Lonchura striata: one gene and its partner. The protein of the gene in region 1 interacts with the protein of each later gene in a biochemical or structural test. Links are inferred from orthologs where the notes say so. Each region holds a gene or a part of one and is shown on either strand. Other genes may lie near its edges.

Evidence for each region.
Region 2: the proteins of XIAP (region 1) and SEPTIN4 form a complex in vitro, tested with the Homo sapiens proteins (4 studies listed by BioGRID, with this or other methods). The link is inferred for Lonchura striata from reciprocal best matches to the Homo sapiens genes XIAP and SEPTIN4.

What each region holds. Positions count from the first base shown.
Region 1 is NC_134616.1:9,795,350-9,803,148, reverse strand, and holds the start of XIAP (E3 ubiquitin-protein ligase XIAP), read right to left. Parts: upstream 3,030-7,799; 5' UTR 2,945-3,029; intron 1-2,944. Other genes in the region: THOC2 (THO complex subunit 2), read left to right, coding at 3,987-4,048.
Region 2 is NC_134622.1:1,508,743-1,516,631, reverse strand, and holds the start of SEPTIN4 (septin-4), read right to left. Parts: upstream 3,050-7,889; 5' UTR 2,990-3,049; coding exon 2,954-2,989; intron 1,387-2,953; coding exon 1,087-1,386; intron 862-1,086; coding exon 768-861; intron 658-767; coding exon 571-657; intron 1-570. UniProt on the Homo sapiens protein: Filament-forming cytoskeletal GTPase. Pro-apoptotic protein involved in LGR5-positive intestinal stem cell and Paneth cell expansion in the intestines, via its interaction with XIAP. May also play a role in the regulation of cell fate in the intestine.

The DNA of each region.
Region 1 (7,799 bases):
ACCTAAATCTACAGTTGGCTCTTGCCTGTGCTGCCAAGTGGTAAGAAAAGCAAACAACTCTGAGTGAAAGAATGCTGATTTCTGTGAGCTGAAAATAAGCAAAGCTCTCCATAATGGTGTGATCTTCATTAAATCTGGGACATTTTATAGCTCAGGATGATGCAATGACACTGAGTTTAGCTATGAAAAAACCAAAAAGTTGCAAGATGTATTTGACAATCACTGTCTAAGAATGTTTCTCATTTCAGCTGTCCAGATGAATGGAAACAGCCAGTATTAGCTAATGTTTAAGATTCTTACTTGCCTAAACAGCTTTTACCAAATGGAAATCATCTTAACAATGTGAACTCATGCCTCCTTTGTACCTTTATTTTTTCTGTGTGAGAATTTAGGAAATGTCTACAGAAAAAGAACTGGTACAATCATGAAACAATTACTGTTAAAAGAAAAAGGGGAATTTAGAACAATTAATTCTTACGTGGACATGATACTAAAGCCAAATAATAAAAAAATAATTTCTTCCAAAAAGTAATTCTTAATTGTCTGTGCAGAAAAAGTAAAGCACTCAATTGTTTAACCCTCAAAGCAGATAATAAAGTTGTGCCTTGTCACATGAATAATGGAACTGGTTAATACAGAGGAAAAGAGCTGTTGGATGTTTTATTTCTTTTGCTTTTGTACATTTCCAGCTCTCCCAATAGATGGCTGTAGTACTTATTTTGAAAACCAAGAATAAATACATTTTTATAAGATCCAATTACCACTGATATTTTTTTAGCTATGTATTTGCTGGATAATGTACTACAGCCTTGAAAACCTTGTATTTACTGTTCAGTTAAATAACTTCCTGCTGCTATCCAGCTGTTACCATAGTGGTGACAGAGGCATTTCCTTTAATGTAGCTCGGACAAAGCCTTCAGAGCACTTCTTTATTCAGGCAGGAAGCACAGTAGGTGATTTAAGATTGTGCTGTGACATATCCTGCATTTGCAGGCATCATTCTTCCTTCTTTTCAACATTTTATTTTATTCCATTATTTAGAAAGGTAAATGTAAACCTGTTGAAACAACAGAAACACAAAATTGTCCTGGCTTTTAACAAGGTTCTCTGACTTATTGATACAAATCTGAGGATGCCCAGGATGCTTTTTCTAGCAAATAAAAGCCTCATGAAAAGATGAAGAATGAACTATAAAGGCTGTTTTACAGAACTAAAATATAAGTCTTATTTTTTAACCTAGGAATTCCTCCCAGTTCAGCTAACATCAAGTGCTACGGAGAAAGACATTTCACTATCTAGAGATGTCCACCACAAAAGCAAGGATAAGTCAGAACTGAATATGACTTTATAGTGTGGAACAGACTACTCTGTGTCAAAAATACGTCATTCTGAGAAGGAATTGGTACATACTTATTTTAAAAATATTTTGCTTTGCCTACATTACTTTATGCAATACAAAATGCAATGTCTATGTTTTAGAGCTTATATGTCATATATAGAATCCATATTAATTAAGGAGAATGTATTTTATATAAATATTAAATGTTATGTTAAATAACCACTAAAGGTTTTGTATAGTACTATAGAAATGCTGTGGAATCAAGACTCTTCTCAGAGTAGATTTTAAAACTGGTTCTGTCATGTGTATTTCTGCATTGCATGTACTGTCTTTTATTTTCAGCCTGTCCCAGTCCGTTACTAATATACTTCAAGAAATAAGAGGTTTAAATTCCTTAAGTAAACTTGGGAATTAATCTGTTGGTCCTGCAATGATTTGATGGCTTTATTCTACTGCATTTCTCCATGACTGCCTCTTCCTCCTCATCATGAAGGCAAAATCTCAAATTTTTATCTTCAGACCTTACATAACTATTCCTACATACATCCTTGCACCTAATATATTTTGTTAGATTCTTGTTTTCTGTTTATGTGACTCTTAGGCTTATCTTCTAAATAGACTTATTGCATTTGCTTATAACACCCTCTCATTTTATTCCTCGGGCCTGCAATTCTATGCTTATCATTTATACATATGTTTTCAATATATTTATTGAATTTTTATTTTAAAAATAATCTATCAGAAATAGATTAGGCATTTGTAAACTGAGTGTATCTTCTATTACACTGCATATAGTATGCCTGGAATGTGGTCTCCATATAATTAAAATATAAGTATGAGAAGCAGAGAATCTGCCTCCTTTACTCCTTGTGTTACTGCAGAGTTTAGGGTTGTAAGGGATCCCCTTGAAGTAGGCGTTGTTCATAAGCAGCCTTCTGCACAATATTCTGCACAGCTCGCAGAAACTGGCTGAGAATGGTAACTGAAACAACACCAGTCCCTGTCTCAGGCAGAATTATGTAGATTTGCTGAAATGCTAGACTTCCTGATCAGAGCTATTTTGCGAGTGGAAAGCTGTTACACCTATATATATATATATATATATAAAACAAGCAAGCTGCACGTTTCAGTTCAGAGTGGAGAACAAGGCAGCGAGCACAGCAGTGCTGGCACCGATAACGGCACAGGGGCTGTGGGGCCTCACCTTTAGATTTTATTTCAATTTCCCCATTTGCTGAAGTTTCATTGTATTTGTGAAACAATTGACACTACTGTAGAGGAGGAAGCATGTACAAGACTGAGAACGTAGGTGGCTTGAGAGGAAAGAGAAATGTCTGACTAAAAACATTTGCTACCCGACCAAATGGAGTGTTTTAACCCTAATATCCCAATTAGCAACTGAAGGGAACACAGAACAACTTGCAGAAACTTAATGGAGACAAGCGACATGTAATAAAATAGGCACACGCATTAGGGGCGACACGCGGAATACGAGGTCCATACAACTGCTTGTCCTAAGTGCTTGTATCGGAAGGACCATTTAGACGTGTCATAGCAAGCTTTACACAATCCCTTTTTAACCGCCTATTTATTCAAACGATTTACCATTCTCGCCCTCTCTCCGAGCAGACATCTCGCCGCTCCGCCGTGCTCGGGGCCGGCGGCGCCTCACGCGCACCCGCACCGCGCGTGCGCACATGCGCCCGCTGCACCGACGCACGCGCCACGCGCGGGCACCCGCCCCACGCCTCCAACGCGCGCGCGCCGCGGCTCTAACGCGGACACGGACCGACACACGGCTGTAACCAGGACACACAGACACAGACCGGCACACGGCTGTAACCAGGACACACAGACACGGACCGACACATGGCTGTAACCAGGACACACAGACCGACACACGGCTGTAACCCGGACACACAGACACAGACTGACACATGGCTGTAACCAGGACACACAGACACAGACTGACACACGGCTGTAACCAGGACACACAGACCGGCACACGGCTGTAACCAGGACACACAGACCGGCACACGGCTGTAGCCCGGACACACAGACCGGCATACAGCTGTAACCAGGACACACAGACCGGCACACGGCTCTAACCCGCGCACACAGACCGGCACACGGCTCTAACCAGCGCACACCATCACACCACCACGCGGCTCTAACCGCACACACACACGCACAACCATGCGGATCTAACGCGCACACGCACACACAAACCACTACGCGGTTCTAACGCGCGCACACGCGCACACACACACACACACACACACACACACACACACACACACACAACCACGCGGCTCTAACGCGCGCACGCACACACAAAACCACGCGGCTCTAATGCGCGCGCGCGCGCGCACGCCCCCAGCACCACGCGTCCCTAACGCGCGCCCGCGGAGCCCGACGCCCCCGGGACTTCAGCGCGCACGCGCGCGAGGCGCCCCGCCCCGCCCCGCGGTTCTAACGCACGCGCGCGGGCGTGGCACCGCCCCGCGGCCCCCGCGCGCAGGCGCAGTCCGCCCCGCCGCCTCCCCGCTCGGCGCGGCCGCGTCCCGCGGTTTCTCGCGGCCCGTCCGTCCCCTCTGACCCGGCGCCGCCGCTGCTCCATCCGGGCCCTCGGCGCTGCACGGGGAAGATGGCGGCGCTGCTCCCGGCCGAGTGGATAAAGAACTGGGAGAAAGGCGGCAAGAGCGAGTTGTGAGTGCGGGGCCTCGCCGTGGGGAGGGATGGGCGCTGCGGCCTGCGAGAGGGGGGCGAGGGCCTCGGCGGCCCGGGGAGGCTGGGGGGCGGCGCAGAGGCCTTCGGCCGGGGCTGCGTCCTTGCTGCTGGACGTGGGGTCGAAGCCGTGGTCGGGAGGAGGGCCTGGGCCGCTCTCCCGTCGGGTCCGGCCGGGTGCTGCCGCCCTCCGCCGACGCCCGGCCGCCGTAGCTGGGCCCGGCTGTGCCGGCGCCCCGAGCGCCCCATCCAGCTCCGGGCCGGGCTTGGCGGGGGTCGGGCTCATCTTCAGCCGCCCCCCGAGGTAATGCGGACCCCGAAGCGTGCCTGTGTCGCTGCTCTACAGTACTGACCTTTCTGGCAGAGGCCTCAGCCCCCGTTCCCGCTTTTTTACCGATTCCGGTGGGACTGGCCCTGTATTCTTTGATCCAGGCAGAGTACGGTTAGGTAGTCACTCCTGTTCTATTCCACAAAGTAACGTTTGTTCACGGAGGGGTTCGGTTGCCACCTCTCAAACTAATCCAGGTGTGCCAGGAGCTTTCCATTGTGGGCCTGTGTTTGTTTTAAGCCATCTTTATGTGGCAAGTTCACTAAATGTTGTGTTTCAGGAGTACAGCTCTTCAAAGGGCGCTTCACCAGTTTGGTCATTTCATGTTTCTCTGTTAGCTTAACAGGGGTGTTCTTTGCACTAGCTATATGTTTTTTATGCGCTTTTATTTTAATTCTTCCATGTGCTTTTGCTTTTTGTTGTAAGAAACAACAAAATTTTAAATTTTTCAGTTTTAAATATGAATGTTGCAGGGATCACTTAGAGAAACACTTCCTGATAATCACTCATTTTATTTTCTTTTGTTCGTGTTTTCTGAAAGCTTGTGCAGCTTTGGCAATGAATTTTCTTTGTGCATGAGGGGAAATGGCAGTGGGTTGGAGATTAGAGAATGTAGAGAATCCCGGCACAAAACACTGTTCTTTCCAGAGCCACCATTTTGTAGTGAAGGGGGCCCCCTTTATAGCCGTGTAATTTTTAGTTTGAATCATGCTGGAGCCATTATTTGTGTTAGTACACAAGCTGAACATGTTGAGAGGCTGGTGGAGTTTGCAGGAGAACAGACATTTCACAGCTGATCACGTAATGGCAACTGCACTGTTCTCACTGGGTTCCCAGCTCTCTGAGCTTTGTAAGAGGCAACTTACATGGCTTGTGACCATGATAAAACCTTCTAGGATTGTTCTCTCCCCTCAGAGCAGGACTTCTTTAACAGGGTGGGAGGAGAGTGTTCATCTGCTGTGGGACCAATAAAACAAAATGATTAGCTAGATTCTTGTATTTGTGGTACTTGCACTTCATTTGGAAGACTGCTTAAATGGTGTTCCAGGCGTGACTTAAAGAGCAATTTGCAGATGAGGCCATATGTTTTAAAAGAAATGTAATTGTGTCTGGATAACAGTTGTCAGGTTTTGCAGTGGTAGCTTTAGAAATTTGAGAAATATGCATGAACTTATTTTCTGGAATCTAAAGTATATGCATGTAGACAATATTTAGAGAACTTTTTTAGGAAGACAGCTTTAATGGGAGAGTCTTCAGTGTGTAACTTTTTGTTTCTTTTTCCAAAACTTCCTATCTTCTGATTAACTAGAGGAAAACGCAGCTGGGATGCTATCATTTCAGAATGAAACACATGAAGTGTTTTTAAGCATTAAAGTAAAAAGGGAATAAATGCAATAACACTACTTATTTTTATTGAATTATTTGTCTAATACGAGTATGCCCAAGAATAAAAATTACGTCTAGGTGTAAGTTTACCCTTGGTCTTTGTGGTTGAAAGTGAGGACAATTCATTAAAATGATGTTAGAAAAGTGGGGAGGGGAAGGATGCTACAGAATGGCAAAACTGACATTACTAGCAAATAGAAGAATTACAAAAATTTAGAAGGTTTTTGGTAGGCATTTTAGGGGGATAAAAACCCTTCATAATTGCTAAAAAAGATTAGTTCTTATGGAAAAATATTTACTTGCTGGAGTATGAAATGGCTTACAGGATCTGGCTAGATCAGTTGAGATAGTATTTTGGCAGTAGTTACCTAAATGAGAACACATTTCTATGTTTTGGGGGAATATGAAACTATATTGAGAGAAGAAAATGCTTTCTTTCAATTTGGCATTTCAACTTCTACTAGAATTTATTAATCTACTAGGATTAATAATGGATACTCTAAGATAATTATACTTTTTTTTTTTGTTTTGGGTTTTTTTTGTATTTTATTTTTTTCAATGGTGTGATATTTTTGATTATGTGATCAACTTGTCATGATTTAACAGTGCTATCCAGAAATCAGAAGGTAAGGATTTTATGTCTTAAGAGTGTCATAATGTTAATTAGTAATGCAGCAGTGACCATTTGCTTCCAAGACATTGTTCAGAGACATCGGTCAAAACTGTACAAGCTTTGGATTTAATTAATTAAGCTACTGACGTGTAATAGTATCTAATAAAAATACACAAATGTGGTAGTTTCAAGTTCAGATCTGTCTCTAAGTACACTTTATTAAAATATATTCATTTATTTGCTACTGCCAGATACTGGTGTGCAAATGAAGTTGGAATCCAAGTGTGATGACTTACGCTGCTCAGTCTGGACTCCTTGTAGACCTACTTGTGTGTGCTGTGTTTGAAGGAAAATTATTTCCACAAGAAGATGCTGATCTATGACTGCAGCCCACATGGGCATTTATAAGTTACATAGTAACTGGTACCTTACCTTGTTTTGTGAGAGATTCAACGCATCAAGGAGCCTTTAGCATGGATGGAGGGCTTTAATAGAGTACCTGCCTGGCAGTTCATACACTATGTTAAGCCTCAGGGTAAACTGAAGAAGCTTAACATTCTGTGAATGTGAAATTTTGGGAATTGATCTTTCAGGCGCTTGTAGCTTGGTCGTTACTTTAACTCAACACTGTAACATTGCTCATGCAAGTGAAGGGCTGAGAATCAGCAAAAGAGAGTTTGGTTTAGTTGTGCCATCCTATCTGCAAAATGCACTTGATTGTACTTTATCTCAGCTAAAGAACTACCTGCATCAGTTGAGTTATGCATATACTTAAATGCTAGCAGGCACATGCACTTTGTGATAATTACTGCTTTAATCCCCATGTGGGAGTGAAATGGAGGTTATAGGACGTGGTGTACAAGTTGGGAGGTCTCAGTTCCGGTGCTGCCTCTGCCATGCAAACTTGTTCACACTGTTTCAGAATCTATCCCATCATAGTCCAAAATAAATTTAATTTTGAAACTGTGGTTTTCAAAAGTAATTTTGTGTTTTTTTAAAAATATTTTTGACAGTTTTACTTTCAGATGAAGAGATGTAGGTTTTAGTAGAGCAGGGGAAGTCCTCCATCATAAGCTTGCAGCAATGAGCTACCAGGTCAGAGTAATAAGTCAAATGAACACTTACCAGATTGTGTCTTGTGAAGGTGCAACTGTTTTGATTTTAATTTCATGCACTCAGCTAAGACTAGATGAACTAATCACTCAGCTTGTTACTGGAAAGGAGGGCTTGTACCTTGTCTTCAGTCAGCAGGGTGCCTCTGTGGCCTCCTAGTAAGTGCTTCAACTTGCAGAGGTGGCTGGAGATTTGGGTTTTGACCAGTTTTCTGCCAGGTTTCTCAGTTTCACTGATCTAACTGATGGGAGGGCCCAAACTGCAACTGAGAAGGGCAGAAGTGTTTGTGAATG
Region 2 (7,889 bases), on another chromosome or scaffold:
ACCCCAGCTCAGGCAGCACAGGGGTCTGCTGGGGCTGGGCCTTGCTGCAGGAGCATTTCAGGTGACCCCACAGCTCCAGGCTGCACGTGCCCCTTCACCCCAGGACCCTCCATGTCCCTGCATCCCCAAGGATGCTGCATTGTGTGTTTTGGCTTTCACTCCAAGCAACGGAAACAAATCAAACAAACCCCTCGAACTCCTGGGGATTTGGGCAAGTTTGGGCCATTTTAATTCAAAAATTGGCTGCAGCTGAACTGGCACTCTGCCCCACGCCCTGACTGTCCCCAGCCTCCCAGAAATGCTGCAGCTCCAGCCAATCCCCAGCAAGCCAGGGCTTGTTTTCCCTGTGGAAATAAAGTCCCTGTGGGAGGTCCCCATCCTGTGCAGGGGGCTCCCCACTGCCTCAGAGCGATCCCTAGTGCCAGTGGGCAGCTGGCAAAACAGCACATGTCATTTCAGGGGAGCCTGCCTGGCCAGGGAGAGGGGCTGCAGCCCCCAGGAGCATCCCAGGGCTCTGCCACCGCCCTGGTCACCCAGGACACCCCTGTGGAGCGTGACTGTCCCCCTGACCTTCAGCGTTGAGCAGCTTGCGGTCCCTGTACATGTCCGTCAGGAAGAGGCTGTTGACCAGGGTGGACTTGCCCAGCCCCGATTCCCCTGAGAAAGCAGGACAAAGATGAGGGAGCAGCCAGGATCCCCCTCCCCAGTGCAGGGTGTTTGGGATGCAAAGGGGGGCCAGCACCCCCAGGCCGGCTGGAGCCCCGTACCTGCCACCATGAGGGTGAAGTCAAAGCCCTTCTTCACAGACTTGCGATGCACCTGGTTGGGCAGCGTGGCAAAGCCCACGTACTCCTTGTCATCCTGCAGAGGGCACAGGGGACATGGGACAGGGACACCACCAGCCCACTTCCTATGCTGAAAAGCCCCCGCTTCGCTTCCCCCTACCCGCCAAGGGATTTCCAGGGTTGCAGTTCCAGGGGATGCGGCCATGCCTGCCCATTTGTGTTCACAAGATGGCAACACCCTCCGTCCCGCAGCCCCTCACGCCACGTGTGTGTCCCCCCTCCCCAGGGACACATCCTGCACCTCGGAGGAGTCGTAGGGGTCCAGCTGTCCCCAGGGGCTCCGCGGGCGGTTGGGGCTGGGGGGCGGGGGGGCGGCAATGTGCTGCTGGAAATCCGAGGGCCGGGAGCGGGAGAAAATCCTGGAGTCCCTCTCGTCACTGGCTTCGTCTGGGGGGACCCTGGCCACGCTGCCCAGGGGCTGGCCAGGCTCCCGCCGGCTCTCCGGGGCCTCCACCTTCCTGGAGCTGTCAGCTGGTGGGCAATCCCGCAGGAACTGGCTCAGCTCAGCCTCGTCCGAGTCCTCCTTCAGGAAACGTTTTATCTGGGGACCAAGGGAGGAGGTGACACTGGTGGTGGCAGTGCCAGCCCGACGTGGCACCACCCAGCTCAGCCTCACGACCCCCCAAGCCGCAGCAGCCGGACACATGCACCCTAAAGGTGGCGGGGATGGGAGGAGAGACGGGACACGGCCACCCCACGGGAGCAGCCACCACCCTGGGGACAGCCGTGGGTACAGCCATGGGGATGGCAGCGGGGACAGCCGTGGTCCCGTGCACCTCGGGCTCTTACGACTTGTGCCGTGGGGATGGCAGCCAGCTCCTGGCACTCCTGGGGACAGGGGTAGGCACCTTCCCCCTGGGCACCCCGCCGCTCCTCGGGGTCTTCTGGGGCAGCCAGGACCGCCCCGCGCCCCATGGCCTGCCAGGAGGGCCGGGAGGGGGCCGGAAGGAGGCAGAGACACCAAGAAGAGATGAAGAGCGGTTGGAGGGTGGCCTGAGCGGGGCTGCAGCCGGGGGAAGGCAGATGGGGGGCAGGGGTCCCCTGGTGCCCATGCCCCCCGCCCACTGCGGGGTGTCACCACAGGGGCCCCCGTCCCCGCAGTCCCGGGAGAAAACCAGGGCAGGGGACATGACCAGGACCCCGCCATCCCCTACCCCTGGCTCTTCCCGGGGGGCTGGGGGGACGGGCAGAGCTGCCCGTGGGGCGGCGGGGCTGGGACGAGGGACGATGGCTCCACATCCTGTTTACAAGCGCTGGCGGGAGGAGATGCGTTCCCAAGGGCGCGTCCGGCAGCGGCTCCCGTGGGACCAAGCCCTGCTGCCAGCAGGCACCAACGTCCCCAAGGCCCCAAGGCAGCTGCCAGGCGACCCCAGCCCCAAACAAGAGGCACGCAGCGGCCGGGGGAGCCGTGACCCTGCGGGCTCCCAGCTGGGGGAGTGCCCCCCCAGAGCGGGGCGTCGAGGCGAGGTCCCTCCATGGGGACAAGTGTCCTCCCCTGCGCCGTGTCCCCGCTCGCTGGCGGTGCCGGCGGCGAGGGGAGATGCTCGGAATCAGCGGGCTGGAAACAAGGTCACGGCGCTGCCCGGCCTCGGCGCCCGCACGCCCGGCCCCGCTCCCGCTGCCCCGCGGCCACAGCGCGGGGACCACGGCGCCAGGCTGGGGGGCACAGGTGGGACCCCCGTGCTCCCCGCTGCCCCAGCGGGTCCCGAGTGCTCGGTGGGTCTGTGTGACCGCAGCATCCTCTTCCTCCCCGCCCTTGACCTGGGGGTCTCAGCGCCAGCCCCAGCGCAGCCCGGCCGGGGACACTCGGGGATGGGAGGTGATGCCACCAGCGGCGGCGAGCGCCTCCAGCCTGCCGCTCCATCCCTCGGGGCTGCAGCCCTTTGGGGCTCGCCCTCATCTCCCACCCCCGGCGAAGCCGATGACTTCGGCAGTGCCGCGGCACCGAGGTTCGCGCTGCATCCCTGGGGGTCCTGCAGCAAGCGCGGCCCCTGGCAGGGCTGTCCCAGGGACGGAGGATCAGCTGCGGCACCTTCCCGCAGAACCGGGGTGCTCCGTGCCCCCCACCCCCTCTCTCGCCCCGCCGGGGACCGGCGCTGCCCCCGTACCTCTTGCCCAGGCTGCAGCTCGGGGCAGGTGGCCATGGCACAGCCAGCGTCGCCCGTGGCCAGCAGAAGATGCCGAGTGGCACCGGCCGCGGCGAGGGCTGGGGAGCAGCATTAGCATAACTCCACCCTGGGCAGGTCCCGCCGGGCACCCAGGAGCCAGGCACGGCCCCTGCGAGGGGCACGGCGGGGGAGAGGGACCCCTGGCAGAGCCACAGCCAGCTCCTGCCCGGCCGTGAAGGTTTCAAGGACCAGCTGTCATCAGCCAAGGGAGGTCCTGGGTGGGCTGCAGGACCACCAGCACCCTGGGCTGAACACACAGATTGGCTACAGCCCAGGAGGATGCTCAATCGTCGGGAATGCCTCTGTCCCAGGACAAAACCCTAACCCTAACCCTAACCCGCTCCATCCTGGGACAAAACTCCCTCTGTCCCAGGATAAAATTCCTCTCCATCCCAGTGCACACCACGTCCACTCCCACTGCCCATCTGGAGCATCCCCCAGCAGGGCTCCACAGCCTCTTTGAGGTCAGAAACCCAGTTTTCCCACACTTTTGCACCTGACACTTAAAGCTCCCCCAAGTGGCTTCAAGCTCTTGCTCGAACTGGGCCTGGCTAGGAAGGACCAGCCCTGGCCTGGGAGAAGCAGCTACGCTGCCCACCACGGGGATCTCAGGCAAAAGCTCCGACATTCCTGCCTCGACTTTGCCGGCTCATCCCTGGGAGGGGAAGGGTTAACAGTGCCCCAGGAGGAGCCGTGGGTGGCAGTCAGGATTCCCCAGCTGTCACTTCGGGGTCAGCAGGGATGGTGATTCACCTTGATGCGTGTCGAGATGCATCAGAGCAGCTCAGGCGCGATCCAGGCTCTCTCGGCCACTTTCCCAGCCCGCACTCCCGGCAGGAGCGGGGATTTACGGCAGCGAGAGCCCGGGGCAGTGCCGGTGCCCCCGTAAGAAGATTACACACGCGGCTGAGTGTGAGCCGGCCTCACAGCGGCCCCGCAGCCCCAGCGATACCCGCACACGCAGCCTCGTCCCCCCTGTCACCCCGCATCACACCGTCCCCGCGCGGTGACAGCCCGAGGGGGGACACGGGGGCAGCCTGACCTCACAAAGCCACCGGCTGCCCCTGAGCATCGTTCCACAGGTACCACATTCCCACGGGAGGTGTTTTCCGCCTCCGCGTCTGCAGGGAAAGGAAGGGAACATCCCGGCGAGGTGCTGTCCCTACCGCCAGGCCGACAGAGGCCTTCCCAAGCCCTCTAAAGGTGACACCCAGAATGCCACCCGCGGCACAGCCACGGTGTCACCACGACTGACTATTCCAGGCACAAAAGCTCTCCCAAAAACACGAGCCCTGCGCAGGACAAGCCCCCAGCAAAAGCTCAGCGCTGCCAGGACCAGGGAGACGGGATCTGGGCTCTGCCTGCTCGGCCCCGCCTCTGGATACACGGGATGCTCCCGCTGCAGAATCAGGGGACCCCCAGCTCTGCCATCCCACCCATCAGCAGCATTCCAGACGGGAAATTGAGTCTCCCGGCAGCTCCGAGAGGAGCAGGGTGCTGGGCACCCCAAGGATGGGGGCAGGCTCTGGGCAGGGGGTCAGCACCGGGCAGGCGAGCACTGGGGATGGGAGCCACAGCCCTGGGTGCAGCAGCTGCAGTCCCTCTCCCGCAGGGAATCCTCCAGCTTTAAGGGCCTGTGAGCACCTGAGTGGGGACCCCAGGATGGGACCATGGCTCCCTGTGAGCCAGGGCATGACAGCGAGGCCTGTCCAGGCTGAAAACCAGGTGACACCTCAGCGCGTGGGGCCGGGCAAGGTCTGACCCACTCCGAGCCGGGAGCAGAGGCCCGGGAGGGGGGACCAGTGCTGATGCTGCTCCTCCGGGCCAGCTGGGAACTGCCCTGGGGACAGAGGGATGTGGCACTGGTGGCAGGGGCAGCGGCTCTGCCTCTGTGGGTCCTTCTGGAGCACCTCCAGCCCCAACTCTCCCCACGTGCGTGGGTGAGGAAGTCCCCAGCTGTGACCGCTGTCCCCCGCGATGTTCCGGAGGCTGCTGTGTGCATCCCACAGCCACAGTCTGGAGCCTGTCGGGAAGGCGCTCGGCTGCGACACGCTCCGCCAGCCGCCCTCCTCCCTGCTTTCCCTGCATCCAGCTCCGGAGGAATGTGCCGGGCTGGTTCCCACGGCGGCTGCCGGGGCAGCGCGGCCGCAGCGCTCCCCACCGAGGCCGCCTGCCCAGCGGCCACCAGCCGGTGCCACGCAGCCCTCCGTCCTCATCCCGAGCCCGGACACAGCCCCAGGTCCCCGCGGAGACGTGGCCCGGCCGGGCGGCTCCTGGGAACCTGCCACCACCGCGGAGGAGCGAGGCAGGACGGGAGATGCAGAACAAGCTCCCGCGGGTGGGAATGGCAGCGGCGGCTCCGGACCTTGCCGGTGAGTACCGGGCCGGCTCCCTGCGTGTGACGGTCCCGGCCGAGGGCCCGGCCAGGCCGGCAGTGCCAGCAGCGCCGCAGCCCGGGGACCTGCCAAGAGCTGGGAACCGATGCTCGGCGCGGAACCGCACCAGAGCGGCTCCCGCTGTCCGCGCACGGACACGCGTGGGGGGAGCGCAGGACGGGGTGACACGCAGGTGACGCTCCCGAGCGCTGCCCCGGTAAGGGACCCCGCCTCCCCCGGGGCTGCCGCTCTCCGCACCGGGCAGGTGCTGCCCCGCCGCCCGCGTCCCCCCCGCGCTCCGCTGCGGCACCGGCGGCCCCGGTCCGCTCCGCCCCCGCTCACCGTCACCTTCACGGAGGGCAGCGGGCTGCGGGAGCGGGGCGGTGCGGGGCAGCCCGGCCCGGGCCGCTCCACGTCCGCCCGGCCTTACCATGGCTGCGGCGCCGGGCGCCGTCCGGGAGCGGCGGCTGCCGATGGGCACGGCCGGGCCCCGGCGGATTAGCAGAAATAGCAGCGGCGGGGGCGGGGGCGGCCCCGGGGCGGGGCGGGCGGGGGGGCGGGCGGGGCGGCCGCTCGGCATCACCGGCACCGGCACCGGGCACCGGCACCGGCACCGGCCCCGGCACCGGCACCGGCAGCAGCGCCCGGCGCCGCGCACTGCTCACGGGTACAGGCAGCAGCAGCGCTCGGCGTCGGCACCGGCACCGAGCAATGTGCACCGGGCACCGGGACCAGACACCGCACACCGGGCACCGGCACCACGCACTGGGTACCGACACCGGGCACTGGGCATCAGCATCCAGCCCTGGCATTCGGCTCGGGCATCAATACCTGGCACCGGCACCGGGCACTCGCTTTGGCACTGGGGCCGGGCACCGTGCACGGCTCTGGCAGCACTCACTGGGCACCGGGAACTGCACTGTGGCACCAGGTAGTGGCACAGGGCAGCAGCACCAGGCACAGGGCTCCAGCAGCAGCCCTGGGGCACCAGCGCCAGGAACAAAACACTGCAGCAGGGACAGGGCACCAGTACCAGGGACAGGGCGCCAGTACTGGGTGCCGGGCATTGGCAGGGCCCAGTGCAGGCAGTGGGTACGAGGCCCCAGCACCAGTTAGTGGCGCAGGTGAGAGGGAATGGTCCCCGTGACAGTGAGTGACCTCCTGGCAGTGTCACCAGCACCAGGCATTGCACTGCAGGTACTGCGCAGGAGGCTCCACACCAGCCACTGGCTCTTGGGAACACTGGGCACCACTTAGGGGGTGTTAGGTACTGGGAAAACACCCCAGCACCACACGTCCCACATCACCTGCTGGGGACCAGGGACTGGTGACTGCACTGAGCCGGGGTCACCAAGTCCCAGTCTCCCAGAGTTCCCGCTGCAAAATCCCAGCCTGCCTCCCCCTCCCGAAGCCCTTCCCGGGGCTGCTGAGCCATCCTGCCCCTGCCTGGTGGGCTGGCAAAGGGACCCAGGCACCCAGGCTGGCCGTGCCCCTCTCCCCATCCCCACCCCCATCCCACCTCAAGGATGGCAGCATCTCCCCGGGATGCCCCCGGCCCCGAGCCCATGTGAGTGGCAGTGGCACGCGGCTGTGTCCCCGTGTCCCTGAGGGCAGGGAGGATGCTGGCACCGCGGGCGGGGTTGCCCGGAGCGAGCGCTCGTGTTCCGGCATGAAAGGGGCCGGGGGAGCCTTGGCCGCGGCGGCTGCTCCCCGTGGCGAGCAGCTGGCAGAGCTCAGCCCTCCCCCAAATTTCAGTCTCCCGGCCCAGCTGCTCCTCAGCACTGTCCTTGTCCCACCTCAAATTCACTCCAAGCCAGGGGGCTGGCGAGGTCACATGCATTCCCAGCACATCCCTCTCATGAGCTTCTCCTCACTTGCCTCAGTTTCCCTGCCAATGAAAAAAGCCAGTGGTAATTCCCCAGGAGGAAAAGATAGATCCGGCCCCAGTCAGGCTCTGATTGAAGCTTTGTGACTCCACAGGGACTATCTCAGCCTTGTCCCCAACCTTATCACTGCCTGGAATCTCTTTCCCTCGGACGTTATAGACCCAGGCCGTGTCCAGATTGGCTCTACATTCCCTTTATTCCCATAAATAACCACCACAGGCTCAACACAGCCTCAGAGAGCACCGGTGGCCACCTCGACCCTGTATTCGGGGGTCCAAGCAGGGGCAGGCAGGGGCAGGCAGGTGAGGATGGCTGTTTACATCCCTAATCCCCACAGCCAGCGCTTTCCTCCAGGATTACCGGGGATTAGGGGCTCGGGGGCTCCAGGAGCTCAGCCTGGGCTCTCCCTGCCCTTCAAGGAGCAGAGCTGAGCCCCGCGGGGGTGGGAGGGCACTGCCGGGGTGAGCCGGGCGCTCCCATCCCGGCACTGTGGGACGAGCTCGGTGCCCTCGACCTGGCCAGCTGGCACAGCCCGGAGCAACCACCCGCTTTGCTCCGGTAGCCCAGTGCCCATCGAGGCCGGGGAGCGGCAACCTGGGCTTTACCGGGAGCATT